4 linked regions of the Caenorhabditis elegans genome follow. The protein of the gene in region 4 purifies or fractionates together with the protein of the main gene of each other region. This does not show direct contact. Each region holds a gene or a part of one and is shown on either strand. Other genes may lie near its edges. The genes, in order: Y53F4B.39, pgm-3, gst-10 and gst-42.

Region 1 (10,874 bases), on a different chromosome or scaffold from region 4:
GGTATTGAGGACTGCAAAGGTCACTTCTAAACACACTCCCAGCCTTGACTACCTTTGCTCATTGACTACCTCATATCATTGACTACCTTGTACTTTAGATTAAGATATACAACTTTGTAGTTTATTACTTTGTCTTAAAAATTTTCCCACGGAGATATCAGCATCCGAAGTGAGTGCGTTTTTTGAGCTTAGGGGTTCTACTTTACCTCAGGTTTTCGTCTGCAATAGTGTGCAGAACATCCAAACTAGAAAAACGACAAAAATTGCACTTTTCTATAATATCTGATCAAATTTTGAAAAATTTTCAAAAAAATAAATTTTGGAAAATTTTATTAGATAGAGGTAGTCAAAGAGCATTTGAAGGTAGTCAATGAGCATTTATACATCAGATCTCATCTCCATTTTTTCCGGAATTTCAGGAAATGAGAAAGTGCACGACCTTCTTAGACATCAAAAAGTAACATGTTTTTGAAAATTCTGATTTTTTAGCGAAAAAAACTGAAAATTCTGAAAAATTAGATAAAGGTAGTCAATGAGCAACTGAAGGTAGTCAATGAGCCGAAAGGTAGTCAATGAGCAAAAGGTAGTCAATGAGCAAAGGTAGTCAAAGAGAAGGTAGTCAATGAGTGTTTGCCTTTTTTTTTGGGCAAAAAAAAAATTTTCTCTGAAAACGTTCGAAACCTTTGAAAATTGAAAAAGGGAAATTTTGTTGTGTATGCAAATCAATTTTGAGTCCTCTAACTTTAAAAATAACCATTTTAGAGGAGTTTCAAATTGTGATTTTTTGCCATAAATTGGCCATTTTTGCCACTTTTTAATAGTTTTTGATTGATTTTCTAAATTTCTATTATTAAATTCAGCATGTATGAATTACCCGTTTGGTGGGCCAAATATACAAATTAGGCAAAACAGATTGACAATAAAATATTTATTATATATCTATTGTATCCTATACACACGGGAAACCTTGATAAAAAAGGTTGAATTTTTGGAAATTTTGGAGATAAAAAAAATTATTTCCTTAATTTTCAAAATTCGAAATCCGCTTCGAGATATTCGAAAAATACTCGAAATTTTGAAAAAATTGGTACTGAAATTAATTTTCCGGAAATTTTTTGAAAAATCAAACAAAAAAAATTAAAAATTTCAAATTTTTTCCAGAAGTTTGAATTTTTTAATTCGAAAAAATATGGTTTTCGAATTTAAAAAATGAATATTTTCGAGATTTTTTGGAATTCTCAAATATAGGTAGGTTAAAACTTAAATTTAATCTATGAAAAGTTCGAATTAACATCGTAAATTCTACATTTTGAAAACACATAAAGAGCGAATTAAATATTTAAAATTCCAAAAAATAATTTTTTTTTTCTACAAATTCGACGATTCATTCTTCTTCTCCTCTCCACTACTACTGCCTCCAATCCACTTGAAAGTCTCAAAATGCGGATTCTCAACGACTCCATCCTTGCAAAGCTTCTTCAGCACGAGCTTCACATTGTTCAACGCAGCCAGTCGTACAGCCCACGGCGAGTCAGCATAAACCTGATTAGTCACATCCATACTGGTGATCTCCTCGTGCTCTTTGAGCACTTTGATAATCTCGCGTTCTCGTTTCATTCGGTGCTCGATGTACTCGTCAACCTTCTCCACGACCTTATCGATAACCGGACCATGACCCGGATAAATCCTTGTCGCATTGAGATCCTTGATCTTTTGCAGTGAAGTCATATAGTCATGAAGATCCTCGAAGACGGTAGTTCCCTCGCCGAGGATGCAGTCTCCACTGAACAATGCTCGTTCCTCTTGGAGCCACAGAGAGAAGTGATCGGCGGTGTGGCCTGGAGTGGCGATTAGTCTGGAAATTTAATGTTTAAAGATGGACTAGCTTAAAGGTGGTGTAGTCGAATTTTTTTTAATTTCTTTATTGGACTCAAAATTGTCTGAAAACACCGAATTTTTGTTTTTTGATCCCAGCCCTGAAACTGTGGTATTAACTGTAGTAGCATAGCTCTTTTTCAAAAAATTGAATTGCCATGAGAAATTTTTTTTTGGAAATTTCAAGATATATCAATTTAGCCTTTCTTCGAGTTATTTTAAAGGTGGTGTAGTCGAATTTTTTTTAATTTCTTTATTGGACTCAAAATTGTCTGAAAACACCGAATTTCATAATGAAACTTCTTGAAAACTTTTCAAAAAAAAGTTATGGCCTCTTGAAAAATGGCCTAAAATTAGTGAAAATTTGAAATTTGACCGACTTATCATTGTCGCAGCGGCTGGAAACAATTTTTTTTTGAAATTGTCGTCTAATTTTGGCTATACAGGTCGATTATCTTGCGTTTTCAGCTTTATTAAGGTATTTGAAAGTCGATGGACGAAGAGATTTGTCAAATTTTTTTCATCAATTCTCTTCGTCCATCGACTTTCAAATACCTTAATAAAGCTGAAAATGCAAGATAATCGACCTGTATACCCAAAATTAGACGACAATTTCAAAAAAAAATTGTTTCCAGCCGCTGCGACAATGATAAGTCGGTCAAATTTCAAATTTTCACTAATTTTAGGCCATTTTTCAAGAGGCCATAACTTTTTTTTGAAAAGTTTTCAAGAAGTTTCATTATGAAATTCGGTGTTTTCAGACAATTTTGAGTCCAATAAAGAAATTTAAAAAAATTCGACTACACCACTTTTAAAATAACTCGAAGAAAGGCTAAATTGATATATCTTGAAATTTCCAAAAAAAAATTTCTCATGGCAATTCAATTTTTTTGAAAAAGAGCTATGCTACTACAGTTAATACCACAGTTTCAGGGCTGGGATCAAAAAACAATAAGTGTTTCGTTTTGATTTTGGACCAAGAAAAATTGAAATTTGGGAAAAATCAAAAAAAAACCAACAAAAAATTTGATACTTGAATTAATTTTTTTACCGTGAAAAATGCATTTTTTTTTGGTTTTTCGGTCTTAAAAAAACAAACAAAAAAATCAATTTTTCGTTACAATGGCAAAAAAATTCAAAAAAAAATCCCAGCCTTGTACAATACCACTACAGTACCCCCTATAATAATACTATAGTGCAACTACAATATACCTACAGTACACGTACAAAATAGCTATAGTACCAGTACACTTACAGTACTACTGTACTACTGTACCCCTACAGTACTAATGCAGCACACCTTCGGAACTTCTACAGTACCTCCGTAGTACCACTACAGTACCCCTATAATACTACTACAATGTCCCTACATTACCCCTACAGTACTACTACTACTACAGTATTGCTACCATTACGGCACTACTGTACTAACACATTTTTTTGGAACAAACGTTCAAAAAATTTTGTATTCATAAATTCCTTTTTGAAAAAAAATATGGATCCTTTTTTTTTTTGAGAATTTCAACAAAAAACTGAGATTTCAAGGTATTTTTTGAGGAACATTAATTGTTAAGGTTTTTTCCTTATTATTTTCGGAGATTTTCGACAAAAATTAGGAATTTAAAAAATCGTCCCGGAAAAAAAAATAATATAGAAAATTTCAAAGGAATTTAAAATCAAAAATTCTTAAAAATAACAGATGGTAACTGAAATTGCATTTAATTTGAAATTTCAGAAAATTCCAATTTTTTCCAAATTTTCACAACAAAAAATCGATTTCTAGCAGTACCCCCTACAACACTACTCATTTAAAAAGACACAATTAATTTGTTTCTAGAAATACAGTACTACTACAGTACCCCAATATCACTACTTCAGTACCCACCCCTCCCAATATCACTACAGTACCCCTGAAGTACTCCTACAGTAACCCTATAATACTACTACAGTACAACCGAAATATACCTACAGTACCTCTACAAAACTCCTTCACTACCCATATAGTACTACTAGAGTGCCCCTACGGCACTATTACAGTACTCCTATAATATACCTACAGTAACCCTACACTATCACTATAGTACTACTAAAGGAGGACTAACGGTTCGAACGATTTTGAACGTATAGACCCAAATTGAGCTCAAATGAACGAATTTCGTAATGAAACTGCTCAAAACAATTTTCAAACATTTTTTATGGCGGTTCAAAATTTTGAAAAAATTACACTGATTTTACCTAAAATCATGAGTTTTTCCCATTTTTTCGTGTCACATCTGTCCGAAGTTGGATTTTTTGGAATTATCGTCCTTTATTGCATATATTGGCAATTAATCTCATTTAATTTCGTGGATTAAAGTACATTTAAAGCCGATAGGTAACCAATTTCGATGATTTTTGGTTACCTAACGGCTTTAAATGTACCTTAATCGACGAAATTAAATGAGATTAATTACCAATATATGTAATAAAGGACGATAATTCATTTTTTCAATTTTTTCAAAATTTTGAAACGCCATAAAAAATTTTTGAAAATTGTTTTGAGCAGTTTCATTACGAAATTCGTTCATTTGAGCTCATTTTGGGTCTATACGGTCAAAATCGTCCGAACCGTTAGTCCTCCTTAATGCTACAGTACATACCTACAGTGCACCTACAGCGGAACTACAGTATCCCTACAGTACTACTACGGTTTTTTTCTAATAAAACCAATTCTCTAATGATAAATGCTCACTTCAGCGTGGCTCCATCAACTGCAACCTCAAACCCATCGTCAACATAATGAAATCTCTCGACACCCTCATCCTTGTCCCGTTTCATTTTATAAATAGGTATCTTCTTTTTATCCAAAATCTCATCAGTAATATTATCGATTCCACCAACATGATCGCCATGCCAATGCGTAATAACGATATATTCAATGTGGGAATTCGTAGATGCGAGAACTGATTTCAGTGCCGAAATGTACTCGGTGACGTTCGGCTCACCAGTGTCCACGAGGATTTTTCTGAAAGAAAAAATTTGATTAGAAATTAAAAATTTTCAGAATATTGCTGCCTACTTTGCACCAGTGCCCAGTAGATATGTATTAGTTCCTTGAAGAGTGAAGGGGCCGGGATTGTGGCCGAGAATTCTGGTGACCGCGTCGGAGAGCTTCTCGATGGGCTCCACGTGAGTGAGGCTTGGCATGGCTCTGAAAAAAAGAATTTCGAGATTTTCAGAGAAGTTTTGAAAAAAGTGTAGTGCTTTATGCAAAATTTGTGATTTTTTTTGCAGAGTAAATTCGAAACTGCAATTGCCCGAAAATCAAAACCAGCGCTACATTAGTCAGTTAAAGAGATACTGTAGTTTTCGCAACGAGATATTTTGCGCGTCAATTATGTTGCGCAATAGATTTCAGTTTTAGTTTCGGTTATTTCGATATATTTTAAATAATTTAATTCTTTAATTCCTAAATCTAGTCATAATCTAGTCTAAATCTACTCCAATCAGTGTTGTTTTACGCAGCTAGCTGTCGATTTACGGAGACTTTTTTTTCAATTTTTGCCAACTTTTACAGGTTCTGATTGTTAATAAATGCACAATTTTTTTAAATAATACAAAACTTTACAACCAATTTGATTTAACTTTTTTTCCGGAAAAATTACTGAATTTCGAGACATTGTTTCAAATGGGAAACTATGAAGAATTAAAGAAAACCAACTGAAAAGTGATCGATAATCGTTCTGTGACTTGTTTCGTCTATCTCTCTCTCTCTTTCTAAATTTCCCTTATTTTCGGAACACTGTAGTCAGTTGGCTACACTTAAATGATGATGTTTGCCAATTTCTAGGTGTCAGCCAATGGAATTTTGCAATTTTGTGACTTGGGCGATAAGTCAGAATGTATTGATAATGCAATTGTATAGTACAATGCAATTTCTGGCAAATCGGCAAATTGCGGGAATTGAAAATTTCCGGCAAACCGGCAAATTGCCAGAATTGAAAATTTCCGGCAAAAAGGCAAATTGCCGGAATTGAAAATTTCCGGCAAATCGGCAAATTGCGGGAATTGAAATTTTCCGGCAAATCAGTATATTGCCAGAATTGAAAATTTCCGGCAAAAAGGCAAATTGCCGGAATTGAAAATTTCCGGCAAATCGGCAAATTGCGGGAATTGAAATTTTCCGGCAAATCAGTATATTGCCGGAATTGAAAATTTCCGGCAAACCGGCAAATTGCCGGAATTGAAAATTTCCGGCAAATCGGCAATTTACAATGTTTGTTAAAAATTTTTTAAAGCCCCCTAAAACTAATAAATATTCAAAAAAAAGTAGTCTTCTTAAAAAATTCAGAGAAAATTCAGAAAAAAAAATGTCTTTATTAGGGAACAAATTTTGGTATCATTGTAGGTTTACGCAGCTGGATGTCGATTTACGAGCGGAATTTTTTTTCAATTTTTCTCAGATTCATGAGAAACAATATCATACATCCTGGAAAATAGTTTTTTTTTAATCATGGCATTGTAGATTTACGCATCTCTGTGTCGATTTACGAGCACTGGTTTTTTTCAGAATTTAGGAATTAAATTATTTATTTAAAAATTGAATAATTTAAAAATATTATCAATTAACACAACAATTTCTAAAAGTCAGAAAAAACCTCGTAAATCGACACAAGCAGTCAGAATTCACCAAAAAATGAGCTCGTAAATCTACACTGGCATCCGAAATTTTGACTTGAATTTAAAAAATAACTGAACACAAGCTCGTAAATCGACACAAAAAGCCGGAATTTCTAATTTTCTACTATTCTCGTAAATCGACAGAAAACCGAAATTTCGAAAATTCAGGAAAAAGATCAAAAAAAAATTCGTGGAAAAATCCTGAAAAAGCTCGTACATCGACACAAAGAGGCAAAATTTACCAAAGAATTAATGAGCTAGTAAAACTACACAAAGAGCTGAAATTCCTAATTTTCTTTGTCATTCTCGTAAATCGGCACAAAACCGAAATTATGAAAATTCAAAAAAAAAATCGTCGAGAAAGCCTGGAAAAGCTCGTAAATCGACACAAAAAGCCGAAATTTTGAAAAAAAAAACTTTCGCGCCAAGACCCCGAATTACAAACCAACCTATGTGCCTTTGAATTAACCAAATAGGCAACACCGGCGTATGCGAAATCCGTATAAAAACGAAGCATCGTCCAGGCTCGTCCAACGTACGCCGTCATCGTGTTCTGAATTACGAGATACTCATCTATGTTTCCGCCCCCGCCTCTGGGTGATTCAGAAATATAGGTCATTAGGTCGTTTTAGGACCAATTTTCATGGAAAATCGATCGGATAGAGAAAAATGGATTAAAAATGGTAGAAATTTAATTAAAATTTCAAAAAAAAACATTAACAATGGTGACAGGAGAGGATTGACGATATTAAATTAAAATAGTTTTTAAAAATTGGGAGCTGAGGAAAAAAAAGAAAAAAATATTCAAAACAAAAAAAAACTAAAAACTAGGTAATGATAAAAAGTCGCTGGAAATCGATTTTTATGGAAATTTGGATAAAAATTGGAAATTTTAGGATTTTTCCGAAAAATTTCGAGAATTTTAACAAAAATAGGATTTTTTGGAGAAAAAATTCAGTTTTTTTTCCAAAATTTTGAGAATTTTTGCAAAAATCTGGGAGTTTTAATCAAAAAGTTGAAATTTTTTCTATTTTTCCAAAATTTTTGAGAATTTTCGCTAAAATCTGAAATTTTTAATTAAAATTTTTATTTTTTTCAGTTTTTTTGGGATTCTCAAAAAAATGTTCGATAAAAAAATCGAATTTTTAGAATTTTCACGATTTTTCAAAATTTTTGACTTTTTCTGTAAAATCGGGAATTTTTAATTAAAAAGTTCAAACAATTTTCTGTTTAGCTGAATTTTTTGGATAAAAAATTTAATTTTTAGAATTTCCAGGATTTACCAATTTTATCGGGAATTTCAACAAAACGCTATAATTTTAAGAAACTTTTCTATAATTTTTTTTTGAAATTCCGGAAATTTCAGTATTTTTGACTGAAAAAGTTTTTAAAAAAATTACTAAAAACTAAAATTTCTGAATTTTTCTAAATTTTCCAAAATTTTTCAACTATTCGCAAAAAAATCGATTTCCAGGCGAAAAAAAAACAAACTAAACAATTTTACAAATATAAGGGGAGTAAAATGAGAAAATGTGGCTAGACTGTAGCATTTGATAACAACAGAAACGAACAAATCGGTATTATGGGGAAAAAAAGTCAAGTGTTAGACGGTAGAAAAATGAAATTTTGAGCAAAAATGTGGGTCCCGCAACGATTTGTGAGGGGGGGGGGGGGGATACTGTAGTTTGACCTAATTCATCGTGAAAATGGTGTGCTGAATGCCGAAATTCATTTTGAAATTTGTGAGAATTTTGAGCTCCGTCTGAAGTCGTTCGATTTTCAACTGTACTGCCTGACTGTACTCGCGGCTTTCCGATTGTGAACGAATTTCGTGCTCTTTTGTGCTGAAAATAGGAAGGTAGAATTGAGAATTTAAAAAAAAAAATATTTTTGAAAAAATGTTTTCAAAAATTTCAAAAAAACATTTTTTGTTGGAATTTTTACTAATTTGAGAGAAATTCGGAATTTTTTATAAAGCTCATTTCTTCCCGCAATTTAATATTGGTTTTACCAAGAAAAGTAAGTATAAATTGCAATTTTTGAAAATTGGCGAAAAAATAATTTGTAAATTTTTTTAGAACTTCAGATTTTCCAGATTTCCTGTTCAAAATATTAAGAAATTTTTTTTCAGAATTTTAAAATTTTGAAAATTTCAACAAAAAACTGTGCTTTTATAAGATTTACAGAATTTTTAAGCTTTTTCGTTAAAAAACTTATTTTAAAATTTTTCTAATTGTAAGAAAAAATAAATTTCATACAATTTCAGGCTTTTTTCTCGAAAATTAAAAAAAAAAACTGGGATTTTAAGAAATTTGTCTGAAAAAAATTCGGCAAATTTTCGATTTTCCGGAAATCGATTTCGGCAATTTGGAAAATTTGTCAGAAATCTTTAATCTCCGGAATTTAAAATCGGCAAATTTTCAAATCCGGCAGTTTGCCTATGATTTGCCGGAAATGATAAATTCCGGCAATTTGCTTATTTGCCGGAAATTATAAATTCCGGCAATTTGCTTATTTGCCGGAAATTCTTAATTTCGGCAATTTGCCGATTTGCCGGAAATTATAAATTCCGGCATTTTGCCGATGATTTGACGGAAATTATAAATTCCGGCACTTTGGCGATTTACCGAAAAGTTTCAATTTCGGCACTTTGCCGATTTGCCGGAAATTTCCGTTTTTTCCCGAAAAATTTGCCGGTAAATTTCATTTTCGCCAAATGCCGTTTCGCTGATTTGCCAGAAATTTCCAATCGGACAATTTTCCGATAATTTGCCGGAAATTTTCAATTCCAGAAATCTTTAATTGCCGGAATTTAAAACCGGCAAATTTTTAAATATTGCCAATTTGCCGGAACTGTTCAATTCCGGCAATTTGCCAATTTGACTGGACTTATAAATTTTTTAACTTTTTTGAAATTTTCAGTTGAAAACGATTTAATAATTTTTAATTTTTTTCCAAAATTTTAGACGTTTTTTTTTTTTTTTTTTTTCAAAATAATTAAATTAATTTAAAACGCACATAGCATAGCTATCAAACCAGTTCAACTTGAAAAACGAATCCCATCCATCAAAAATATGCAACAAAAACGCGACACCAGCCGCAAAACCATCATCAGTAACGACAAGATCCTTATTATGCTTCAGAGCATACGTTTTCTTCACTCGATTCTCATGAGCCATCATATAATTAATATGAGATAAGGTAAGTGCTGGAATAATTCCATGGAAGTAGTCCAATACTTGAACTCGATCCTCAGGAAGTTTCGATCTCATCAAAAGACTTTTAAATTCGACACACATCATTTTAGTGTAATTCCGATGCTCGGCGACTCGTTCGAACATTTCTTTAACCAAACCGAGCCGATACGCCGCGTGCATTTTTGTAGAGTTAATTGGGCAGTCGGGGCGATTCGTGAAGATCAGTGATCGGGTATTGGATTCCAGGTCGTCCATGTATTTTTTCACTTGGGGGAATAGATCCTGACGGGTTAGGCCGTTCTCGCGGGCCGCTTGGCACAACATTCGGACTAGGGAGATCGCGTTGCCGATCTGCAAGTTTTAAAGGGGGAGTAGAGTTTGTGGGGAAATATATGTTTCTGACTCTAATTTTGCCCCTGATGCCGAATATCGATGTGAAAAAATTCAAAAAAATTTCCCTGATTTTATATTAATTTTTAAAATCCGAAAATTCATTGGATGCCTATATGTGAGTTTTCAAACGCTGAATTTTCCCGCCAGAGACGCCCCGCCCACGAAACCGTGCCGCAAGTGTGGGTTTACGAGATGAATATTTTCCTTCCATTTTTATTTGATTTTATACCGATTTTCGTCGATTTTTCTCATTTTTTCGCTGTTTTATATTGAAATTTTTGTTATTTCTCTTAAATTATGCCTTTCTATTGATGAAATACACAAAATTCCATGAAAAATTCCATTTTCAGCACAAATTCGACGGGAAACGAGGAAAATCGCGGAGACACGACGATTTTTTGGAAAGTGAGTACTTCTTATAGAAAATATTATTTGAAAAACAATTGAAAAGTAAGAATCGCTAAATAATTAAGCCTAAAACATCCTAAAAATCATCAGTATGTCGATTTATTCGGCAAATATATTACTATCGTAATAAATTAAATTAAACTTCCTATTTTAATCCTAGTGCTTATTAATAGTCTCTTTACAAATCTCAATAACGAAAGTTCTCCACATTAATACAAACATTTAACATTTCAGTTATCCGGAACACGTTGATTCGTCGCGCTCCCGAGGACAATCTTCGATTTTTGTAGTTTTTTTTTGTAAAGTTTATTGAATATAAACAGTCTTATAATAAATTTACTT
Region 2 (7,448 bases), on a different chromosome or scaffold from region 4:
TTGTATAACTTCAAAAATTCCTTGAATTAGAACAACAAAATAACGGGAGAATTGAAATATGAGCTCTCGATGAAAATTTTCTGAGAAAAAAACAAGAAAAATTCACCTAAAATGTAAAGATCTCATCAATATTGGTGTGATTAATTAGAAAGAACATAAAAAAAAACAATTGAGATTATCAAAACAATTTAATCAAACTAATCAATACGGGCACGTAGAATTGTAGTGTTCTCCAAGCGAGTAAGCATGTCGAAGGAAGACAACTCGGAGGGCTCGATCCTTTGGACTCGAGTATTCCTCGCCAATTGTGTGACGGCCACCGTATTGTTTGTAGACCTGAAAAATCAATTATTTTCAATATTACCTCTGAATTTTGTTTCTTTTAATACTTTCTCAGTAACAAGACAACTGATATGTCAAAAATTGTGCTCTTTTCCTAAAAAAGACTACCATTTGACACTTCGCCAATTAATTAAGACTCAAAGAGCATAAAAATAACAGAAAGTCACGTGACGTCTGATAAAAAAGTTTTTGCAATCTATTTTTGATAGCGAACTCTGATGACAAAATTTGGACAAATCATGCAAAAAATTGGGACTACCCGAACCATAAGTGATAAGAACTGGACGTGATGGTTTTCACGTATGTCAGATTAGTCATTGGGTAAACGCCTTAAAACACTGGAAGGTCACTTATAAAACGGTATCTAAAAGTTTCCAGAATTATCGTAGTTTCGAAATTTCCTGAAATAAGTACTTCAATGATTTCTTGTCTGATCGTATGCGCAAGGGTCTGTTTTCAATCAAAGTACTGAAAATCTACAAAAATCAATAAAAACGTATAAATTTCTGAAAATAGTGGCGAAATTATTATACCTAGTAACATGATTCTCTATATTTTTTTCAAATTAACAAAATTCTCACCACAATAGTCTTCTCAAAAATCATGGAACACGCCTTCAACTCGAGTTCTCCACCCCATACTCCACCAATTTCAGCGACATTTTCAACTCCACCGAGATATGTTGCCCATGAAGAATCACTATCCATATTTGCCATATCCTCAATGAAAGGCCGAAAATCTTCGCTGTGCTCACGCATATAAGTACCACATCTCTTGCGAAGTTTTCGTACAGAAATCTCGATTCCTTCTTCTTGAAGTTGATGAGAAATTGCATTGTACATACAATCACCATCTGCTGGAATATCGATCATTTTCATGTGATCTTCTGCGAGCATCTGGAAATGATTGTGAAATCGAAGCTTTAAAAATGTGTATTTCAACGTACCTCTTTAACAGCTGCTTTCTCCATTTGTCTATCCGAAAGTTGATTTTTTCCCGCTTCCTTATCGGCTGCTTCGGCAGCCTTCATTTTGTCAGCGGTTTTCTTTTTTTTATCTTGTTTTTTTGCAGCTTTGTTTGAAATCTTCACAGTTTTGTAGAATGCCGACGACGATGGTCCTTCTCCATCATTATCCGATCCTTCTGGATTTGGTGAAGGTGGTGATAATGTAGAAGCTTCTGGATTTTCAGCAGGAACGGCTTCCGATTCTTCTGGCTTCTTTGCTTCTTCGAGCTCCTTTTTGTGACGTTCATCCATTTCTTTTTCCATTTTCTCGCACTGAAACAAGACATATATTCGGCATTTTTTTAATAGTTTTATATCAAACCAACCTCAGCACCGGCCTCTTTTTGCATTTGCTTATTCCCGCATTTTGCCGCCTTCTTCTTTGCCAATATTTTTCCTGGAAGTTGTTTTAATCGATCGAGTGGTGACGTGGATTTCGACTGGCGTGATTTTGGTGATGATTCCCTCTTTTTAGTGGGAGTATGTTCATCATCCGGGGCCAAATAGGTTCTGTTTCGTTTTGGTGTGCCCGACATAATGAATAATGGGAATTTGTAGAAAAATGCGAAGAAGTAAGTGAAAGACTACGGAACTGGTTGATTGAAAACTATCAAGAACATTTAAAAAACATCCGCATAGTTTTCAGTATTGGCGGGTAGATCAAAAAAAATGTTTGGTTGTACATTTCAAGTCTACTTGAAATATTTTTCTCTTTTAATGTCAAAATTACCTCTCAACTCTTTCTTTTCACGCCGATGCCGTGCTAGGATCGGATTTTCTTCATCCTGCTCACCATCCGACGACATTTTTAAATCGATTGAAAATTTGTTTTGCGGTCTTAAAATTAGGAAAATGTTTCCATGGAAATTTCCACAAACGAAAATTTCATAACGAAAGTACAAAAGAAATTGTAGACTTCTTATTGAACAACGAGCTAGAATACCCATGATTTTATATCGAAACATTCATTTTTACTCAAGATGAAGTCTCAAAACGAGAATCTTCAATTCGTCATCACTCTGTTATCTAGTTATCACAATTTTTCAATATATTTTAAAGCATAGGGGAAAGGGCCAATGATGTGTTTTAATGAAACCAGGAATTTACTTTAAAACCGTTGAAAGTTGATATAGGGAAATGGGGAAACCAGTAGAAACTCATAAATGAATTTTAACAAATAAATATGGGAATATGAAAGGGAAAAATTTAAAAAAAACTTTGGGAGATTATGCTGAAAATGACTAAACTGAAGGGATGAATAAAAATACATTGTGAAAACTCGAGACTACATATGGAATTTATTTTCTTCAGTTCGAGTTGCAAAGGTTGAGAACGACTTGTTCGAGAGATTTTCCGAGTTGCAATGTATTTTCAACAGTATCCGCTTCAGCGTATACGCGAACAATGTTCTCGGTGCCAGATGGTCTGAAATCGATTTGAATATGAAACAAAAACTTCAGATAAGATTACCTGATGAAAGCTCTCGAATTATTGTACTTTGCAACATCCGTATCAATCATTTTTTGAATTCCAACAGGTTTCACAAGAGTTTGCTCGGCGTTCGTCGTTTTGAAAATGGAACGATCAATAACTGGAACTTTGATCTGCACATTCGGAACATCTCGATACAGTTTTTCGGCCCAGTCATCCATAGACCATCCATAGTGACGGAGAACAGCTTCCACGGCAAGCAAATCTGCAAAAGCATCCCCAACAGTTTCATTGATGACACGGGAGAAAAGTGCTAGACGACGGAGAGGTAATGATTCAGTTGGAGTTCTGAAACAATTCATTTCTATATTTGAAAAAAAAGAAATTTATGAAGCTGTTTAGTCTCCTATACCTTCTGATGATGCGGTCGAAAATCTCGCTGAAAACAACAGTTCCGTGTCCGTTGGCCTCGAAATAAATTCCAATGTCGAACTCAGAAGCAGCTTCATGCAGATGCTTGACTCCAGTAGGTACAATAATTGGCTCAATACCCAACTTTTCACGAATGTAGCGTGTTGAACTTCCATTCGCATATGCTGTTTGAACAATACCAAGGCGGAGACGTTCCATCGGAGTGGAATTTTCGTAATCCTAGAATGATGCATCATTGAAAACTTCACACTCAGTTTATTCATAATTTGATAACTATTATTTTGAAATAAATCACCTTCAGTTGCTCCCGAATGTATGTGACAATCAGAACTGCAATTTTGTCACCGTCGAACAGCTCAGCATCGTTTGATTCCGAATTTTCTGAAGCCTTTGCACGGAAGTACATCAAGCGATCGGCATCTCCATCAAATGAAGCACATTTTGGTTCTGCTGCTGTCGGTGAGAAGTTTGCTGGTAACTTTTGCGAAATCTTAACGAAATCGGCACCACATCCCTGATTCAGTTCTTCCGATTCATTACGAAATTCAACTTCCAGAAGTGATGATGGGATTCGCTCAAGAAGATTTCTGAACCGTGGAGCACCGACTCCGTTTGCGCAATCGACAATGACTTTTGGTTGATATCTGAAGAATACTTTTTTAATGGCAAGTTTTTCTCTGAACCGTACCTCGAGTCTTTGGGTTCCTCAGTTATTTCATACAGCTTCTTGAACGAATCGGCGATTGCAGAATAATATCCATCGTGAGTTGGCTCTGCGAATTTTGGCTCGTTGAATGCCTTGACAGCATAATGAAGCATTGGAGTCGACACAACACCGATATCATCGAATTGTACATTGAATAACGCTGCACCGGCTCTTGCTGCATTCATCAGACAAGGACCAGAGCAACGTGTGTCCATACCACAAACGACACGGGAAAGTTGGGTCTTTCCGACTGAAATTTGTTTTTCAAGAGCTCGAACTGCGGCTGGGAGCTCGGCATCAGTAGCATTCACAACTTCAGTCGCGTATATCTGTAGAAAAAAGGTTTCTGTGCGTTTTTTATTTATTTTCACTAACCTCCCACTGCTCATTGAGCATATCGCCACTTGGATCCACTAATTTCACACCATTGTCACATGATGGATTGTGTGAAGCTGTAATCATCACTCCGATAGCTGAGTTGAGCTGCCGCGCACGAAGACTCGCAACGTAAGCACACCGGAAGACGATGAATGGAAGCTTCTCGGACTTGAATCGGAATCCAGCAGTTCCTGAAATAGCAAACTTTGAAAATGATAAAAGAAAATATTTTATTTTTAGTCGTACCATACGAGAATTTCTCATCGTCTTGAATGGCATGCACATTACCGCTGTGAGTTGTGTTACCGGCACGTGAATATTCAACTGGAACAGTGAGATCCATTTCTGAAAAAAATTTGGATTTCGAATTTTAAATACGTAGAGAAATAAGTCGACAGAACCAATAAAATGTATTAAATCAGATGAATCTAAACTACATGTTGATTTACGGCGCTAAACAACGCCCAAGACGTTATTTCGGAGCGTTGTGCGGAAAAGAGTTCTAAACGCGTTTTTCCTTTCCCACCAGAAAGTAAAAACGTTAAATAAACGAGTATATTGATCATAACAGGGCGTGTTAATGAAAAATGATGATGAAGTAATAAACGTTCAACTGATAACAAGCGGAAACAAAAGGTATGATTATATTCACACTGAGACCAGAAACAATGTTTTGAAAAAAGAACATGGAATTGAAAAATGTCGGTGCTGTATGTGTTTTATTTTCTCATGGAAAATGTTTAACAGGACGCGGGAAACAAAGATCAAACTTGTAGATCGTAATTTATGATTCAGATTAAGAAAGTTTCGCTAAATACTAAAATAGTTTTCTAGTATAGTTTTATTACTCTTTTGAATAATTTTTAGAGCTGAACGGAATATATGGTGTTTCTTTAAAAAGTATAATTAGGAAAAAAAATGAACTAACATTTCGATGGTACGGTTTCCAGGCGCGCACTGTTGCGTGAGTTCCGGGTCTCACAGCGATCATGAGCACTGTAGAAATTTTCAGGCCTATTCATGATTGAGGCCTTATTGTGGCTGAAAACTCATTTTTGTTAGAAAAAAATTCAGTTGGAATCATCCGTCCACTAAAATTATTTTTTCTAGAATTATTCCTTTCTCGATGAAAATTGTTCGAAGAACAGCATTGGTCTACCACATCTTGTAAAAAATTGGAAAAAAAAGTATATCAATAAGATTTTTCATTGAAAAGAGGAAATTCTAGGAAAAAAATTATTGCAAGAAAGAGAAAAGACAGAAAAAGAGAAATCACTGGAAAAACGTTTTGAGACAAATAATAAATATTAAGTAGCTAAATAATAAAATTCTCGGAGAAAAAAAAGGAAAAGTTATTTTGTTTCTTATTGACGAAGATCCGATTTTCTCTTGAACTTGCTCTTTCGATGATTGTTACGCATATGTTGTACTAAGTCACCAGTCAGTCTGAAATCAAGAAAATTGGATTCCAGAACCAAGAGCTTTGTAGTATTTACCTGAAAACTGCTCCACATACAGCACAACAATTTTCATTAACCAAAGAACTGCCAAGAGCATTAGCCACAAGTGGATTGTTCATTGTAGAAGGTACAGTAACCCCAGAGCTTGATGACGTGGAAGAGGAGGAACTGGTTGATGTGGTTGCACGGGGTTGCTGGACACGTGGAAGAGGTACAGTAATCGGTGCTGGTGAAGCATGGCATAATGTGGAAATGAATTGGCGGCGTGCAAACTCTTCCATTTGACGTTGTTGTTGAAGGCGAATCATTAGGGGTGCAAGTTGAAGATAATTCTGAAAAATATTATTTGTGCATTTGGTACAGTACTTGGATATATTACTTGAAAAACTTGGGGAAACTGAATTTGTGCAGTCTTGGAAGTGCAATCAAGAGGTGTCTCGTCTGGAGATTCTTCATCTTGAGTCTGTAGGTTTGTTCCAGGATCTTCCCGGTTTTCAGACACTTCTGAAACTGCGGGATTCCAGATTCGAAACTTTTTTGCCATTGGACCATCTGCCATTCTTAGTTGAAAAAATGACGTTGCAATCCTAAAACAGGAATTTCAAAAAACATTTCTTAGGTATTTAAAATATTTCGAATGGAAAAGCACCTAGAATTCACAAAAAATACAGATTTCTAAACTAAATTAAACTTCAGGAAGATGATTGAGAATTACAGTAATTCATTAGTAGACAGATTGTTAGTACCGCCTGTTGACATCAATCTGATTGAAGACGATGAGAAAGATAGGAAAGGAAAGATTGAATGAAATGCAACGGAAATGTGTTAAAATTAACATAAAACTGCATCAATGTGTTCTACGGTAATCTTTATGTTGTTTTCTGTGTTTGAGTTGATCAGTATCAAGTGAAAAGAATCCGCTATGTTCCAAATCATTAATGCATACCCGTTAATACCGTATATTGTTAAAATCCTAATAATCAATCCCTGATATCCCGAAATTGTTGTATACACTATACATAATAAAAACTGAACCAATGTACAAAAAAGATCGGCCTCTGCATGTAAAAATTCTACAAAATCTCCTCAAAACCTTTCACAATCTTATTTATCGTCATCAGGTGCCTAACGACTCCGCCCCTTTCCCCCGTATTTTCCCAAATAATATTATTCTGTTATTCCCCGTATTTTCGCAAGTTACTACGGTAGTTTGATGAATATTTATAAAGTTTGGAAGATGGGGAGTAGGTATTTTGAATATCATTGGACGTAGAAGAAGATGATAATTAGGCACCACACCTCACATCCACAGACTCCTGAGAATATGTATGTGGAAGGTAATGAATATGAGCAGTTGGTGTATATGAACATTATTATTATTATTGAGTATTGAAAGTTATGAATAGTTTGATAGAATATATTGGTGTAATGATTTTTTGTTACATAGCAAAATTGATGGGATTTCCGACAATGCGAAATCGTTGAAAATTATAATAATGAAAATTATATATAGACATGTCGAAAAAAAGATACCCATAAGGTGACACAGTTGCGTAATACCGTTTATGTGACTGCGACACCTTATTTTCAAGCTTCTTAGTCAACCTTAATCCTACCCTTCACCATCTGTCATTTCTTTTCATATAATGTTTCCCAATCCTTTTGACAGTCTTAAAAGGTTTACGTAACCGAC
Region 3 (7,882 bases), on a different chromosome or scaffold from region 4:
ACGGAAATGTACAATACAATATGCGATTAATATTCAAATCATACAAAGTTTCCAAACTCACTCTAAGGTAGCAAGTATTACGCTATACGTACATATTTTCAAATTAACTTACTTCAAACCGTCTGAAATTTCCTGACGAGAACCTATAGTATAAAACATTAGCCCTAATATGGCTCCACCAATAATGGACAGGAGAATCCAGAAAATAAGACGCCACCCTGAAAAGTATCGGAGGCGGCCTTCTCTGAAAAATATTGATTTACCATTCTTACACCCTAAAGTACTCCAAATCCGAATATTTATTAGAGCGCGCTTGCTACGCGTTTCTGCATCCGCCGTGTTTTGCCTTTCCACTGAAAATTGAAGATTTACCAAATTTTAAGCTTTAATAAATTTTTTCTGCATTTTACGAACAAACCTTTTGTTAAACAGTGAAAATCGTATTTAAAATGACTAAAATTAACTTTTTTCGTCCACTGGTTGAGAAATGGTTTGAAATTTAAAAAAAATCAACAGGATTTTTCTTATTTTCTAAATATTTTCCTATTGAAAATCGTTTTTAACACATTTTTGACTATAACTAGGATCGCAAATGTTTAGGGTCATTAATGTTTAAAACCCGATGTTTAATTGAAAAATATTTAGAAAATTAGAAAAATCCTGTTGATTTTTTTTTAACCTTTTCTCAACCAGTGGACGAAAAAATTTCATTTTAGTAATTTTAAATTCGATTTTCATTGTTTAACAAAAGGCTTGATCGTAAATGCAGAAAAAATTATTAAAGCTCAAAATTTGATAAATCTGAAAAATCTGCAATTTTCAGTGGAACGGCAAAACACCGCGGATGCAGAAACGCGAAACGTAGCAAGCGCGCTCTAATAATTATTCGATTTTGAGGAGAGCGTGCCCTAGTTTATTTGTTGATTTTCCTAGAATTTTCTATCAAAAGTAGAAGTGATGTTAATTGTATATGAAGCTTGAAAAATTGACTAATGATACAGTACCTTTGAACGGCAAAATAGCGATATATGAAGTTGATTGCTATAGCGTAAATACTTGTTCCAAAAAATGCCACTCCGGAAACTGAAAAAAATGATTAAAAAATCAAAATTGCTTCTTTTTAAATTTCAATTTAAAAGACAGTTCTCTCACCAACAGTGAACTTCAAGACATCTGGATGATTCTCTAGCATATTACTCTTCAAATCCACAAGAATAACTACAGTTGAGTCGTCATTAAACATGTACTGAAAGTAATCATTCAAAAAAAAAACGCTTCAACACTGACAACTTACGGGTGCTGCAACAAAATGAAATGCTGCATATGCAATTGACAAGCCTGAGCAGTATATCAGCAAATACTTGTAGCTTCCCATTTTCCGCGGTGAACTTGTAACTACAAGGGTAATCAGAATGAAATTTACCACAACAGACAGTACTGCGGCAATTGGCTGAGTTATTGATTTTATTAAGGAAAACGTTCTCATTTCCAAATGTGAAATTTAACCGGAGAAAGCCACGGAGCAAGTTATTTGGAGAAAGTGTTTCTGGAAGTTAGAAGTTATTTGAAATTTAAAAAAATAAAGAAAGCCGATTTGTTTCATATATATATAGAGTTTATAATTATAGTTTGCAATTTAGAAGAATGATTCATTTTATACTTCCTTGTTCCTTGTAATTGCAGTTTGTATATGATTCTCGTTTGATGTGTCGCAGGTGCTAAACTGCGTGTCTGGTTCTTCAAATTACACCTGCGACTGACCAAACGCAAATCATCTGTGTGATATCGACTTATAATATGCAGGGTGGTTTATCCGAAAATTTGGAGTATTAGAGCTTTGCGAGCCCAGAGGACAGGGAAACGTATTTTGTGCCAAGTATGACGATTTGGTCGAAAGAGCCCATCTGTGCATTGACCAGGAAACGGGCGGCGGCGAGGGCTCCAAAACAGGCTTCGCCCAGTTCCGACTCCTCTGAAGCGACTTCTTCAATTGTCTATAACAATGACACTGGACCACTCGAATTTATCGAAAGTACTTGATGGCCGAGATTTTTTGGTTGTGGAAGAGTTTTCTAGAACTGGTGACATAGAAATCTTTCATTTTTTCAATCAAAACTAATTTTTGATGAGTGATTTTAGATGCAAAACTAATAGAGGCGCCTTACTAATAGAGGATATACGGTATCCTATCCTATTTTCTCTATAATAGCGCTGCAAAAATAATGTTCCAATGCACCAATTAAAAACTAGTACTCAGTGTCCCCATTCAGGTTGTGTTTGTCAAAGTAAAATATTGTTTTCCCTCAATCTTTGATCGGTCTAGTTTCGTCGAAACACGCGTGTTTTTTTCTCTAAATCTCTTCATGCTTACCCATGTCTAATCTATGTTGATGACAATTCAAATTGGTATAAAAGTAGAGGCCATTAGACCTAAACGATAAGAGCTCGTACGATGGCCGTGCCACAACTTTACTACTTCACTATTCGAGGTAAGAAATTTTAAAGTTTTGCATTTTTGGAAAGCTCAATATTTTTCAGGATTCGGAGAATACATCCGTCTTCTGTTCCTCGACAATGGTATCAAATTCGAAGACATTCGGTTCGACTACGAGGGGAATGAATGGCAAGAGTTTAAAAAAGGAATGCTCCTTGGTCAGTTGCCATGCTTGAAGGTGGACGGGCAAGAGATTGTGCAGACTGGAGCAATTATGCGTCATTTGGGAAGAGTTCATGGTAAGGAGATTTGGCGGGAAATTCGAATTTTTTCAGGAAAGATTGTTGGCGGGATATTCAAATTTTCTCTGATAATATTTTGGGGGAAATTTCAATTTTTTCGGAAAACATTTAGTGGGAAATTCAAATTTTCACAACAGGAAGTATTTTTGGCGGGAAGTTAGAAAAATTTTCAGGTCAAATTTTTGAGGGAAATTCAATTATTCTGAGAAAAATATTTGGCGAAAATTTCAATTTTTTTCAGAAAACATTTCAAATTTTATAAGGATCAATTTTGGCGGGAAATTCAATATTTACGGAAAAAAAACAATTTAGCGGGATATTCAAATTTTTAGTACAAACAATTTCTGGCGGGGAACTCAAATTTTATGCAAAAAATTAGGCTAGAAATTCAACTTATCTCATAGTCAGAAAAAAAATAATTTTGCGGGAAATTCAAATTTTCTGAGATAAACATTTGGCAAAAATTTTATGTTTTTTAGAAAAAAAATTCCAGTTTATCGGGAAAACATTTGGCGAAAAATTTCAATTCTTTCAGAAAAAATACAATTTTGGCGGGATTATCTCTGAAAAATTTTAGCGCGGAATCCAAATATTTGAGGAAGATTTTCTTCAGTCAATTCAAATGTTCTGAAAAAAACTTTAAGCGGAAAAATACATTTTTCTTTAATTTTTTTTTTTCGTAATTTCAATTTTTCCAAAAAAAAAAAACTTTGCGACAAGAAATTCAAATTTTTGAGAAAGATTTTGGCGGGAACTTCAAATAATCTCATTGAAAACATTGGCGAGAAATTTTAGTTGATTCAGAAAATAATTTTGGTCGGAAATTACAATTTTCTGATAAAAATTTGGGCGGGAAATTAAAATTTTTCTATTTATATCATATATATATCAGGTTGTCCCATAAGTTTTTGTACTATTTTTTTTTTGAAAAAAATTTATTTCTCTCAAGCGACAAGTAGTACTATTCACACAAGTATTCACCATTAGTGTCCACCACTTGTTGCCATTTACTAGGTAACATCATGATGCCACGGGAGAAGAAATCCGGCGAACGCGATGAGAAGAAAGTGGAGAGTTCAGTTTTGAGATGCTCTTCGTCGTCGAATTGCTTGTCGCGCATGTAGTCACTGAGAGACAAGAACAAATGGTAGTCGGTTGGTGCAAGATCTGGAGAATATGGTGGATGCGGTAAAACAGTCCAACCAAGATCTTGCAGCTTCTGGAAAGTCTTCTTGGCGACATGAGGCCTAGCATTATCGTGAAGAAAATATAGTTTTTCATATTTTCCGTTGGTCTTTTCTGCAACTCGGTCCAATTGGGCACAATAGTAATCAGCAGTGATAGTTTTATTAGTTGGCAACAATTCCCAGTGCACGGGTCCTTGAACACCCCACCAGACACAGATCATAATCTTTTTTGGGTGAAGATCAGGCTTTGGCGTCGGTATTCCTTTCTCACCGATCGGAAGCCATTGACGTTTTCTGGAATGGTTAACATAGAGCACCCACTTCTCATCTCCAGTAACCAGATTGTTCAGCCAATCGAACTTTCGACGAAAAGTTAGAAGTTGAGTACAAACGTTGACCCGAGTGAGCTTCTGTGATGCCGAAAGTTCATGAGGCACCCAAATTCCAAGTTTTGAAGTAAAACCAAGGCGACCCAAGTGACGTGCAATTGTGCTATGACAACACTCAAGCTTCTCTTCCATTTCACGAAGACTAAGACGAGGCTCTTCCTCCACCAGCTTCACTAGGTCTTCTTCATTTAACTCTACCGGTCGCCCAGAACGTTCTATTTCTTCGAGACTGAAGTCGCCGTTCTTGAACTTTTGAAACCAACTCTTTGCTGTATTATAAGAGAGTGCTCCCTCACCCATCGCACCGCATATGTTTCGTTCCGCTTCCATTGCTGAATGACCAAGACGAAATTCATAAAGAAGAAGCAATCTAACGTCTCGACGTTCAAGTTTGATGATTGTCATCGTGGCAAAGTAGAAATGGATGAAATGAATTTTTTCTGAAAGGGGAAGACCCGACCTTGACACGACCTACGATGAAAAAATTTTTAAACTTTCTAGAAGTTTTGGAAAAATATTTGAAAAAAAGTACAAAAACTTATGGGACAACCTGATATATATAGTGTATTATGACGTCACAGATCTATTTTATGTAATTAAAAATTTCAGGCTTGAACGGATCCAACGAGCAAGAGGCAACCTTCCTCGACATGTTCTTCGAGGGAGTCCGCGATGTTCGTATGAAATACGTCCGTTACATTTACTACGACGAGGGAACCCGCGAGGATTGTGTCAACAAAACCATCCCGGAGGCTCTAGTGAAGTTGGAAGAGCTTTTCAAAGCTCATTCCGGAGACTTCATCATTGGAAACAAGATTAGTTATGCGGACTATATTCTCTTCGAGGAGTTGGACGTCTACCACGTTTTGGATGCGAATATCCTAGACAAATTCCCAACTCTGAAGTCGTTCTGGGAAAGAATGTGGAAGAGACCGAATTTGAACGCGTATCTCGAAAAGAGAAAGGCCGACAAAGTCTGGATCAACGCGATTGAGAAGGGAATGAACTGATTGCTTTAAAAATGCAAATGTTTTTTTTTTCGAATCTATGTTGACAAATAAATGGATATTATTTTAAAAAGCAACTTACGGGAGTAGCTTTTGTGAATTTTTTGCCCTATATATGAGAAAAAAATCTTCAAAAATTTATGGCGTTTTTCAAAAACTTTTATGCTTTTTTTTTCAATTTTCCAGACAATTAGAAAGGGCCAAGCTCTGGATATATTTTTATTTTTGTTTCTCAGTTTGGAGTTTTTGTCGTAGAGGCTCAAAATTAATGCAGTTCGAAAATTTATTTTTGAGAAGGCATTTTAATTTGCTCACCTGAATTAACAGTTTTTTGCAAAAAATTTTTTTTGGAATTTTGGTAGAATTCTTATCGGGTGCGGTAGATAATTTTTTTTAATACTATGGGTACGTTTCTGGGTCTAGAAATTCGATTTTGGCAACGCTACAGTCATATGCCTGTAAAAAATGAATTGGAAACCAAAACCCCTCTAGCGCGGCCAAAATCGAATATCTAGACCCAGAAACGTACCCATAATAATTAAAAAAAAATTATCTACCGCACCCGATAAGAATTCTACCAAAATTCCAAAATTTTTCTAGTTACCGAATCCGAAATCTAGTTAGTACCTGTTGAAATTGAATTCAAAGTAAAAACCCCTCTAGCGAGGCTGAAATTTAATTTCCAGGTCCAAAAACGTACCCATAATATTTAAAAAATTGCCTATTCAACGGCATATCAATTCTGCCAAAATTCCTAATTTTTTTCACCACTATTTTTTCCACAGGCACATACCCATTAAAATTGAATTCGAAATAAAAACCCCTCTAGCGCAGCAAAATCCTTGACTGAAGACTAAAGACTTGTTAACTAGATTTTTGTTCCGGTTTTAAAACAAAAAAGGAAGTGTCTTTTCACACCGGGCTCGACAAAATATGTTTAGCCGTGCTCAATAATTCAGAATGTATGTGGGTAGGACGAACTTTTCTGTCTCTTTTGGGATAGCGAAGTGTCGTTATTTTTGTTTCAAAAAGTTCTCAGAAACATTTTATTTCCGATTTTTTGAACCTTGTTTCAATCTAATTTGAGTGATTACATCACCAAAACTTAATAATGATGATCACAAAACGAATGATAAAAATCACATTTCTTATCAATGACACAATGAAGGCAAAGACTGTGCTCTCCTACGCCACATTCAGTTTCATAGCGCTGCTTTTGTTTTGCTATAAAACTAATAAAGTAAGTTTAAAATACAAATTTCAACATTTTCAAGTTTTTTTTTTCAGACAACTTATATCAAAAATCCTAAATTCAAAATTTTGGAAGCTTCAACGCCTGCGCTTCCAATTGATAAAGAATGCGAATGTATCTCAAGTTGGACTGGGAAATCTTATGATTTTTGTTATAGAAATCCAAAGGTTTTAAATAATGGAATTTTACATTTAAAAATTTAAAAATTAAAAAAAAGGATTTCAGAATGCTACACTTGTTGGAAAACGGTTCAATTGCACTTGGTTGAGCACTTTGGAGGATTTAAGTGAGTTTCCATGGCTCAGCGGAACTGTAGAAATACTGTAGGATTACGGTAGGATTACTGTAGGAATACTTTAGGATTACTGTAGTAATACTGTAGGACTACTGTAGAAATACTGTAGGACAACTATAAGACTACTGTAGGACTACTGTATAAGACTATAGCGATACTGTAGACCTACTGTAGTTGTTTTGTAGAATTACTGTAGAGGTACTTTAGTGATACTGTAGGATAGCTGTGAGGGTACTATAGGGCTACTGTAGAAATACTAATGTAATATTGTAGGATTACTGTAGAAGTAGTAGGATCTGTAGTAGGATCACTGTAGGATTACTCTACGAATACTGTAGGACTGTACGACTACTGCAAGATTACTGTATGACTACTATATAAGACTATAGTGATACTGTAGACCTACTGTAGGTGTTTGAGTGATACCGTGGGATAACTGAGAGAGTACTATAGGACTATTGTAGGAGTACTGTAGAAGTACCATAGTGATACTGTAGGATAACTGTGAGAATACTATAAGACCACTGTTGGAGCACGTTAGGACCAGAGCTGGGACTTTTTTGGTTATTTTTTGATATTTTGACAAAAAAATAATTTGTTTTAGTTTTTTTAGACCAAAAAAGATCAAGAAAATTTTCACCTTTTTACCGTTTTTTTTTAAATAAATTCAAACATTTGCAATTTTATGTTTTTTGGTCCAAAAATAGTTTTTGGTCCCAGCCCTGGTTCGGACTACTGTATAAGTACTATAGTGATACTGTAGACAGAATATAGGTGTTAGATTACTGTAGAGGTACTGTATTGATACTGTAGGACTTCTGTAGCCCAACTTTCAAGCTGTCTAATTGGACTCACAATACGTCGGCCGCTAATTTTCTTTGTTAAAATTGATGTGGTAATCTCAACTTCAGAACTTGTCGGACTACATGAACAGAGCCTGGTTGACCTGTACGAGTATGAAAAGAACGATTCAGATGTTATTTTTGTATCTGCAACTTCAAGAGACCATCTGGCGA
Region 4 (6,602 bases):
AAAAGGACAAGATGGAAGAAGAGAGGCATCACTGAACATGCGAGGTTTAGAGAAAATGGAAAACCCTTCATCGTCTCCTATTTGATTCAATTATTGAACAGCATAGAGAAAGGAATGATGAAAACGTAATTAGAAACGAACCGCCTGATAATAAATAAAATGAAAAATGAAATCACTGGAATGCAATTTCGCATAGTGGTCGAGAGTCCGGTATCAATGATTTCTGTGAAAAAGCGGTTTACAGAATGTTTGCTGAACATAACCTAGTGTAAAAGAAAAAGCGTTTTTGGCATGAAAAACAGAAGAAAAAATCATAATATCCACATCTTAAAAGTGTTTCAAAAACATTATAACTCCGTGAAGGTTTTGTAATAAATCTCAAATATTTGTTTGACAGTATTTTTTTCAAAAAAAAAGAACTCTGCCATATATGAATGATAAGAACTAAAGCAAGCTTATCACTTCTACATATTAATTCTAAAATAAGTTTTTTTAACTTCAAAATATTCAAGCAGTTTGTTAACAGTCATAACACTGAAAAAATTAGGTTACTCAAAAAAATTGGAAAAAATAAAACGTTAGTAAACTTTTGTTTCTAATATTTCAATTTTTACTTTTTAAAACATCAAAATAGTGTTTTTAAATACTTTCAATTCACAAATGGAAAAAATCGTCAATTGCAAAATTCCGAATGTAAGTTGAAATTGAAGTGAGTAATAGTTTTAATAGAAAACACAGCATATTGCAAGAAAAATCGAGAAACAGTGGACATTGCATTGACTGACCTGTACCATGTCGAACCTCTTTCTCAGACTAAGTCTCTGCTATATTTGTATGAGTGGTAGTCTTCCGAAAGCTTATTAGATCGACTGCGCAGGAGGACGGGAACCTTTATGTTTGTTCAAAGAGTCACTTAAGAAAAGACTGCAGAAAATGAGGAAAGGTGAGCGAAAATGGAAGAATGATGAGAAATTGAGACGAGAAGGAGGTCAACTGAGTTCGTATGGTGTATCTTGACAACGAAATTTTAGAGCATTAAAAATCAAAAATGTACTGTGAATATAAAGGTATGTACTGAGAATATCTAATTTACTCAATTAAACATGTAAAAATTGAAACAATTGATGTGCTTACAAGTACCCTAAAATTCAAAGTTAAAATAATACCAAAAATTAGAAGAAAAACTTTTAAGTAATATTTGAATCATTTCAAATAAAAAGTGTATTGGATGAGAAAAAAAAACTGCAAAAAAAATTGTTGATAACAAAAGTGAGTTAATTGCAAAACGGGACAAGATGTTTTTTCCAAAACCAGGCAGCAGCAATATATCATCAACAGTTTCTCAACAAAACCGATTCTCAATAATGTTAACTTTTCACTTCAAACCAACGTCATTTTTATTTCACACTATGAGAAAAGTATGAATCATAAGTATTGTCCAGCAATTGAAAAAGAGAGAAGTATTGCACACTTGAAATTTATTGTACAAATAATTTGTAACTTCACTTGACAAAATGATTCCAAAATAATTTGATGTTCAAATCAATAAATGTGTTGTGTTTTCTTTTATATATAGCATTTTTATCAGTGCAGGCGTAACTTAAAAATGCCTTGACAACGGGAGGTATACACTTTGACAAAGTTGTCAAACATCACCCTTTATTAAACCTAATTCGTCACTCTTTTCCTCTTGATTCTGGTTGCATAAAGACAAAAAAAGCAGAAAAGGAGCTGCGAAGAGCGAGCCAGAGATAGAGAAAATGAGAAAAGTTGGAAATTGAACTTTGCAGACCACACTGACAAAGAAAAGAGGGGGAGAATGCGGGAGGAGAAGAGTGAAAAAAACGGATACTTTGATGAATCGAAAGGCCGGCTTGTGTTGTGGGTGGCAACCAACTAGTACTATGACTATGCCAACCTCGCCCGTAAAAACACGTTCTCTTTGCACGGAAGTCTTCCGAAAGTTCTCTAAAAGTTTCCATGACACAACATTGCCGATTGGGTTTTCAGATGCTAATCCCCAGGGATTGAGTTTGGTCATGAAGAGGAGGACAAAAAAATGACTTTTGGAGGCTTCCGGTCTGCAACTGTTTAACTTGAATTTCGAAACATACTTCTAAATAGGTAAACATCAAAAATTCTGTCTTCAAAGCAGGACATTTTTTTTGAACGCAAAAAAGTTATCAGTGGAACTCGCATACTAAAAAATTTTCCATTGGATATTTCGTTTGAATAAAGTTCAAAATATTTTTAAGAAATTAATTTATTTGAAAAAAAAACACTCAGTATGAAAACGAGAAAAGTTAGTTTACAAAGTTAAAAAAAGCAACTTGCTTTAGGATATCGCGGACATTTTCTGTTGTAAATTTATTATTACTTTTGTGCTAATTTAAGAGACAAAGAAACATTTTTTTTTAATTCTCAAATAGTTAACTCTTGTATGTCCAATCCAATAACGCAATCATTCATAAGAATCTAAGCATTGAGTCCGGTATCTGGTTGATTATCAGGATGAGCGGCAATAAAGGCGGGGATATCAGCAAGAGTCTCATTGATACGATTCACTGTTGGGTATGGCGACAAATCGAGGTTGAATCTGAAATGACGGTTTGATTGCGATCGGAACGATTTGGAAGGGAGGTTATTCTGATGGTTATCTGTGAATCTCTCATGTCTCATCCTAAACGCTCATCGCTTCCAATTCATGTTTGTTGAATGACTAATACATTTTGTTTGAATCAGGAATCCGATAAAAAGGTTGTTGCCACACAAGTGGATGTTGTTTTCAATAGGAATGTGTTTTCGTTTAAATCACTTGCTAAGATGATTCAGTAACTGTCTATGAAAAATTGGTCAGTGTTGTTTGAGGGTAACCCAAAAGGTGTTCAAATTTTCGAGGTTTTGAATACGCAAAATGTCAAACTAATACATTGAAATTCTGGATAGATTACTAAAACATAATAAATTTTCTCAAAAAGTTATCTATGTCCAAAATTCCCTGACCCTCCCTATAATCATACCGGTTAGCTGAGTAGATAAGTGGCGGGATGGAGAGATCCGCAATCGTGACGTCATCTCCGACAGCATACTTCCCAGAATGTTGCTTTAGAAGAATTTCAAGAGCAGTGAGACCTTCGACAACAAACTGTTTGGCAAACTGAAATTTTAAAAATTGAAAACATACATTGAAGATTCTGAAATTAAACCTGTCCTCCGAATCCTGCTTCTTTTTTATTCAAAAGTTGAAGAACCTTCAAATTGTGAAGAGGTTGAATTCCAGAAGCAACCTGTAAACCTCAAAACATAATTGTTACAGTTTTTGTAAAACAATAGCAGTATAAAGTTAAGAAAAAAACCAACTAAATACGTAAAACTTACCAAAAGAGAAATAGCTCTAGCGTGAGCTCTCTTGATTGGATCTTTTGGCAAAAGTGGAACGTCTGGATGCGTTTCTTCCAAATACTCAATAATCGCAAGACTTTCAGTAATTACTTGACCATCCACAACAAATGTTGGTACTTTTGCAGCTGGGTTGATTTCTTTCAGTTTGCTCTAAATTTTAAAATAATTTAAAGAACCGCTTGATTTTCTCTTACCTTAGCCTCTTCGGACAGCAAGTCGACAGTTTTGTATTCGTAGTCCACGTTTTTCAAAGCAAGCGCTGAAAATAACATTTTTGCTAGTTAAAATTGATATAATTAAAATACCAACCGATGCGAACTCTCCATGAGCACGATGATCTCCAATAAGAATACAGAACTGGCTTTTGGTTGGACATGTCTACAAGCAGAAAATAATTTTGTAAATTCTCAGAAAGAATAACTGATGATAATGACTAGTTGAAAAATAAACAAAAAGGGTCAAAGACGGAATGATGTCGAACTAACTGATAAGATTGGACGGTGTATGTCGACGAAATGGTTTTGTTGTTGTATATTGCAGACGCAGAACACTAGAGATAGTGTAATTGTGCAGACACACGTGGTCTTCTACTATACATTACCAACATCATATGTAGACCAAGAGAGAAATGCAGATTCAAAAAACATTAGAAGGAATAAGAAGAAGTAGACAAAACTATGGTAAGCCTTGGGCGATGCCTTGAGAGAACAAGCAGCCCACGACTTTTTTTATGAGGCTGCTCCCAACTCTTGCCCAAGCTGTACCCAAGTCATTTTTTCAAAGACAATATAAAAATACACAGTGCACTTTGATGTGCTTAAATGAAATTGAGAGCATCCAGGAACTATTTTTCAATTTAAACGACGTTGAGACACGTTCATTAAAAGCATATCTGGTGGATCGTATTAATGAGATCCAGACCCAAGCCACGGTGATTGTGGTGAACAACGTTCGTTTTTCGCCGGAGCTCAAGTTGGAGCTGAAAGAGATCTTGTCGAAATGCATTGACGGAACGCGGATCATTTCATCAGAGTCGATTGTTCCACGTCCCCGTTCTCAAAGCTCGACTTCTCGTCGTATCGATGGTAAGTTGAAACTAGGTGTTAGGTACATCAAAATACTAATTATATCTTTTTCAGATTTTGTGAAAATCACGGACGAGCGTCTTCTTCATCTTGTGGAAAACAATACGTCTTGGACTGGTGACAAAGTTCCGTTTTATCTCACTGAGATCAACCGCAATAAGGTAAGTTCGTGAATATGAGAAATATTTGCGGTTATGGGTTAAAATCAGAACTAATATTAATTAACTTTTTACAGTGATCGTCGACGCCCTTTCTTCTTCCCAACTCCTCTCTCATCAACGTGTCTTCGTGCTCGGGTCAACTTCTGATTTTCCGGTGTATTTTCTATTTAAGATCTCCCCTTCACTCCCTATAGATCTTTCATCTCCTTTGTTTTCCCCTCAGTCTCTTCTCAGTGCGTCAATGTAGCACGTTTATGATTTAAAAAACCAACTTCTTGCAATCTGTACTATCACTCAAGTTGGTCCAATAAATTGTTGTTTTTAAATCAACCGTCCTATTTATAAAACGTTTCAAAATGTCCTTCCATGTTAGTCTGTCCGTTCTCTGCTGTCCTCGCAAGTCTCTGAATCCCTCGTCGTTGTGATCCTAAAATCCGTCATCGATTTGTCCATTGAGTATTCTCAAAAAAGTTCCCATCAACGACATTTCTATTTCTGACCTGAATCAGTCGAAACGCAAGAGAGGTAAAGATCAGTCGACTAGGGATTGGGATGAAGCTGGTTCTAAAAACTGGTCTTTTGATAATCTGTCATTTTTCAGTGATCAATCCTATGTCATCCGTCTGGCTGCTTCAACAATGTCTACGCTGTAACTTCACAGTATACAACAAACTCTTGAAAAAAGTATGTTCCATTAGGTTATTCATTAGTTGGTATTGAGCTTTTCTTCTAATTGGACTGTAAAGTAATATGCAAAAAGTGATTAATGGATTTTTTTAGTCTTGTAAAATATTAATACAGTGAACTACCGCGCAAAATTTTACACATTTCAAGCATCGAAATGCTATTTTCAAATTGTTTTTGAATCCCTCTTTTAGTTAAGATTTCATCCAAAAATGTAATAGTGGAGAAAATGTTTATTTACAAATTATTTATTCCAATCTCAAAAATTAATAAAACACAAATACACAAACTACTGTTATAAAATCCAATTATCATCAATATCACAAGTTCACTGGAAACATACATTTCAAAATTACCGGGAGGTTCGGGGAGCTGACTAGAACTGAAAAGTTCACCAAGAAAAGAAACATTAAAATTTAAGTACAGTTGTGTTTCAGTAATTTTTCCATAATACGAAACAATGCATTATCTATTCCCATTTGAGATCAAACGACATTCCATATTTCCTCACATTACATTATGATGCACACTTTTGAATCTTCAACTTTCTCTCCTTTTTCTTTTTTACCATTTTTCTTTTTCTCATTCACTGCCTCGAATATCATATTCTCTCCCGATTTGTCGGATGATTTCGATCGTAGAATGCTGCAAAAAAAAATGAATTTTGGTGTTTACCAGCTTGTTCGCAGAAGTGAACAATATTTTTTGTTAAGTTTTCGTGACCATCTTCAAGTACTTGTTTGTTCTTAATTGTAAACTTGTTCAGTAAAAATTAAGAAATTCCAGGGGCCTTTAATATCAATTAAGTTAGAACAAAACATCAAGTAGCTCCGTTAATATTGATATTAGTATTATTTATGAATATAAAGGCAAACTTTCTGCCTATTTTTGAGAATATTTTGGCATATATTGAAAGTTTCTTACAATATTTTCTTGTTTAGAAAACTAAATTTTGACTTCCTGGCAAAAACTTTGAGCAGCTTTAAAAAATGTTTGCAAAAATTTCTCGGATAAGTTTGAGAGTTATTTAAAATACTTGCCTTGCAATTTTAGACATTCTCCGATTTCGCGTGGGACCAGATTTGTTGATGGACATAATCATTTGTGTTAATACTTTCTTTGCATCTGAAGAGCTACTGGAACTTATTTGCATAAATGAACACCGACTTCCAAGTTCCTGCGCCAGTTGTTCGCCCTGAAATTGAATATCAGCAGTTATAATAAACAATAAGTGCATTTATCTTGTCCTAGGGCATTGGACATTTTAACA

Evidence for each region.
Region 1: the proteins of gst-42 (region 4) and Y53F4B.39 fractionate together in Caenorhabditis elegans (co-fractionation; one large-scale study listed by BioGRID). This does not show direct contact.
Region 2: the proteins of gst-42 (region 4) and pgm-3 fractionate together in Caenorhabditis elegans (co-fractionation; one large-scale study listed by BioGRID). This does not show direct contact.
Region 3: the proteins of gst-42 (region 4) and gst-10 fractionate together in Caenorhabditis elegans (co-fractionation; one large-scale study listed by BioGRID). This does not show direct contact.

What each region holds. Positions count from the first base shown.
Region 1 is NC_003280.10:15,106,359-15,117,232, reverse strand, and holds Y53F4B.39 (Beta-lactamase-like protein 2 homolog), read right to left. Parts: upstream 7,090-10,874; 5' UTR 7,082-7,089; coding exon 6,984-7,081; intron 5,066-6,983; coding exon 4,934-5,065; intron 4,880-4,933; coding exon 4,607-4,879; intron 1,856-4,606; coding exon 1,369-1,855; 3' UTR 914-1,368; downstream 1-913. Other genes in the region: wshc-4 (HEPN_LA2681 domain-containing protein), read right to left, coding at 8,225-8,378, 9,553-10,082.
Region 2 is NC_003282.8:8,722,914-8,730,361, reverse strand, and holds pgm-3 (Phosphoacetylglucosamine mutase), read right to left. Parts: upstream 4,641-7,448; 5' UTR 4,639-4,640; coding exon 4,542-4,638; intron 4,487-4,541; coding exon 4,293-4,486; intron 4,247-4,292; coding exon 3,900-4,246; intron 3,856-3,899; coding exon 3,507-3,855; intron 3,431-3,506; coding exon 3,192-3,430; intron 3,128-3,191; coding exon 2,819-3,127; intron 2,774-2,818; coding exon 2,656-2,773; 3' UTR 2,302-2,655; downstream 1-2,301. Other genes in the region: otub-3 (OTU domain-containing protein), read right to left, coding at 202-336, 924-1,238, 1,289-1,621, 1,675-1,884; F21D5.9 (C2H2-type domain-containing protein), read right to left, coding at 5,660-5,741, 5,792-6,087, 6,135-6,314.
Region 3 is NC_003283.11:2,559,254-2,567,135, forward strand, and holds gst-10 (Glutathione S-transferase P 10), read left to right. Parts: upstream 1-2,436; 5' UTR 2,437-2,452; coding exon 2,453-2,489; intron 2,490-2,538; coding exon 2,539-2,733; intron 2,734-4,921; coding exon 4,922-5,322; 3' UTR 5,323-5,392; downstream 5,393-7,882. Other genes in the region: str-154 (Serpentine receptor class r-10), read right to left, coding at 1-62, 113-244, 1,005-1,083, 1,153-1,246, 1,295-1,486; Y45G12C.1 (Nucleotid_trans domain-containing protein), read left to right, coding at 6,431-6,559, 6,607-6,738, 6,797-6,857, 7,778-7,882. UniProt on the Caenorhabditis elegans protein: Conjugation of reduced glutathione to a wide number of exogenous and endogenous hydrophobic electrophiles. Responsible for approximately one-third of 4-hydroxy-2-nonenal conjugation.
Region 4 is NC_003284.9:11,724,019-11,730,620, forward strand, and holds gst-42 (putative maleylacetoacetate isomerase), read right to left. Parts: upstream 3,919-6,602; 5' UTR 3,779-3,918; coding exon 3,712-3,778; intron 3,662-3,711; coding exon 3,597-3,661; intron 3,553-3,596; coding exon 3,379-3,552; intron 3,288-3,378; coding exon 3,207-3,287; intron 3,158-3,206; coding exon 3,021-3,157; intron 2,597-3,020; coding exon 2,476-2,596; 3' UTR 2,246-2,475; downstream 1-2,245. Other genes in the region: D1053.2 (Histone-lysine N-methyltransferase, H3 lysine-79 specific), read left to right, coding at 4,133-4,487, 4,542-4,648, 4,723-4,725; D1053.3 (Ras family protein), read right to left, coding at 5,845-5,977, 6,373-6,527.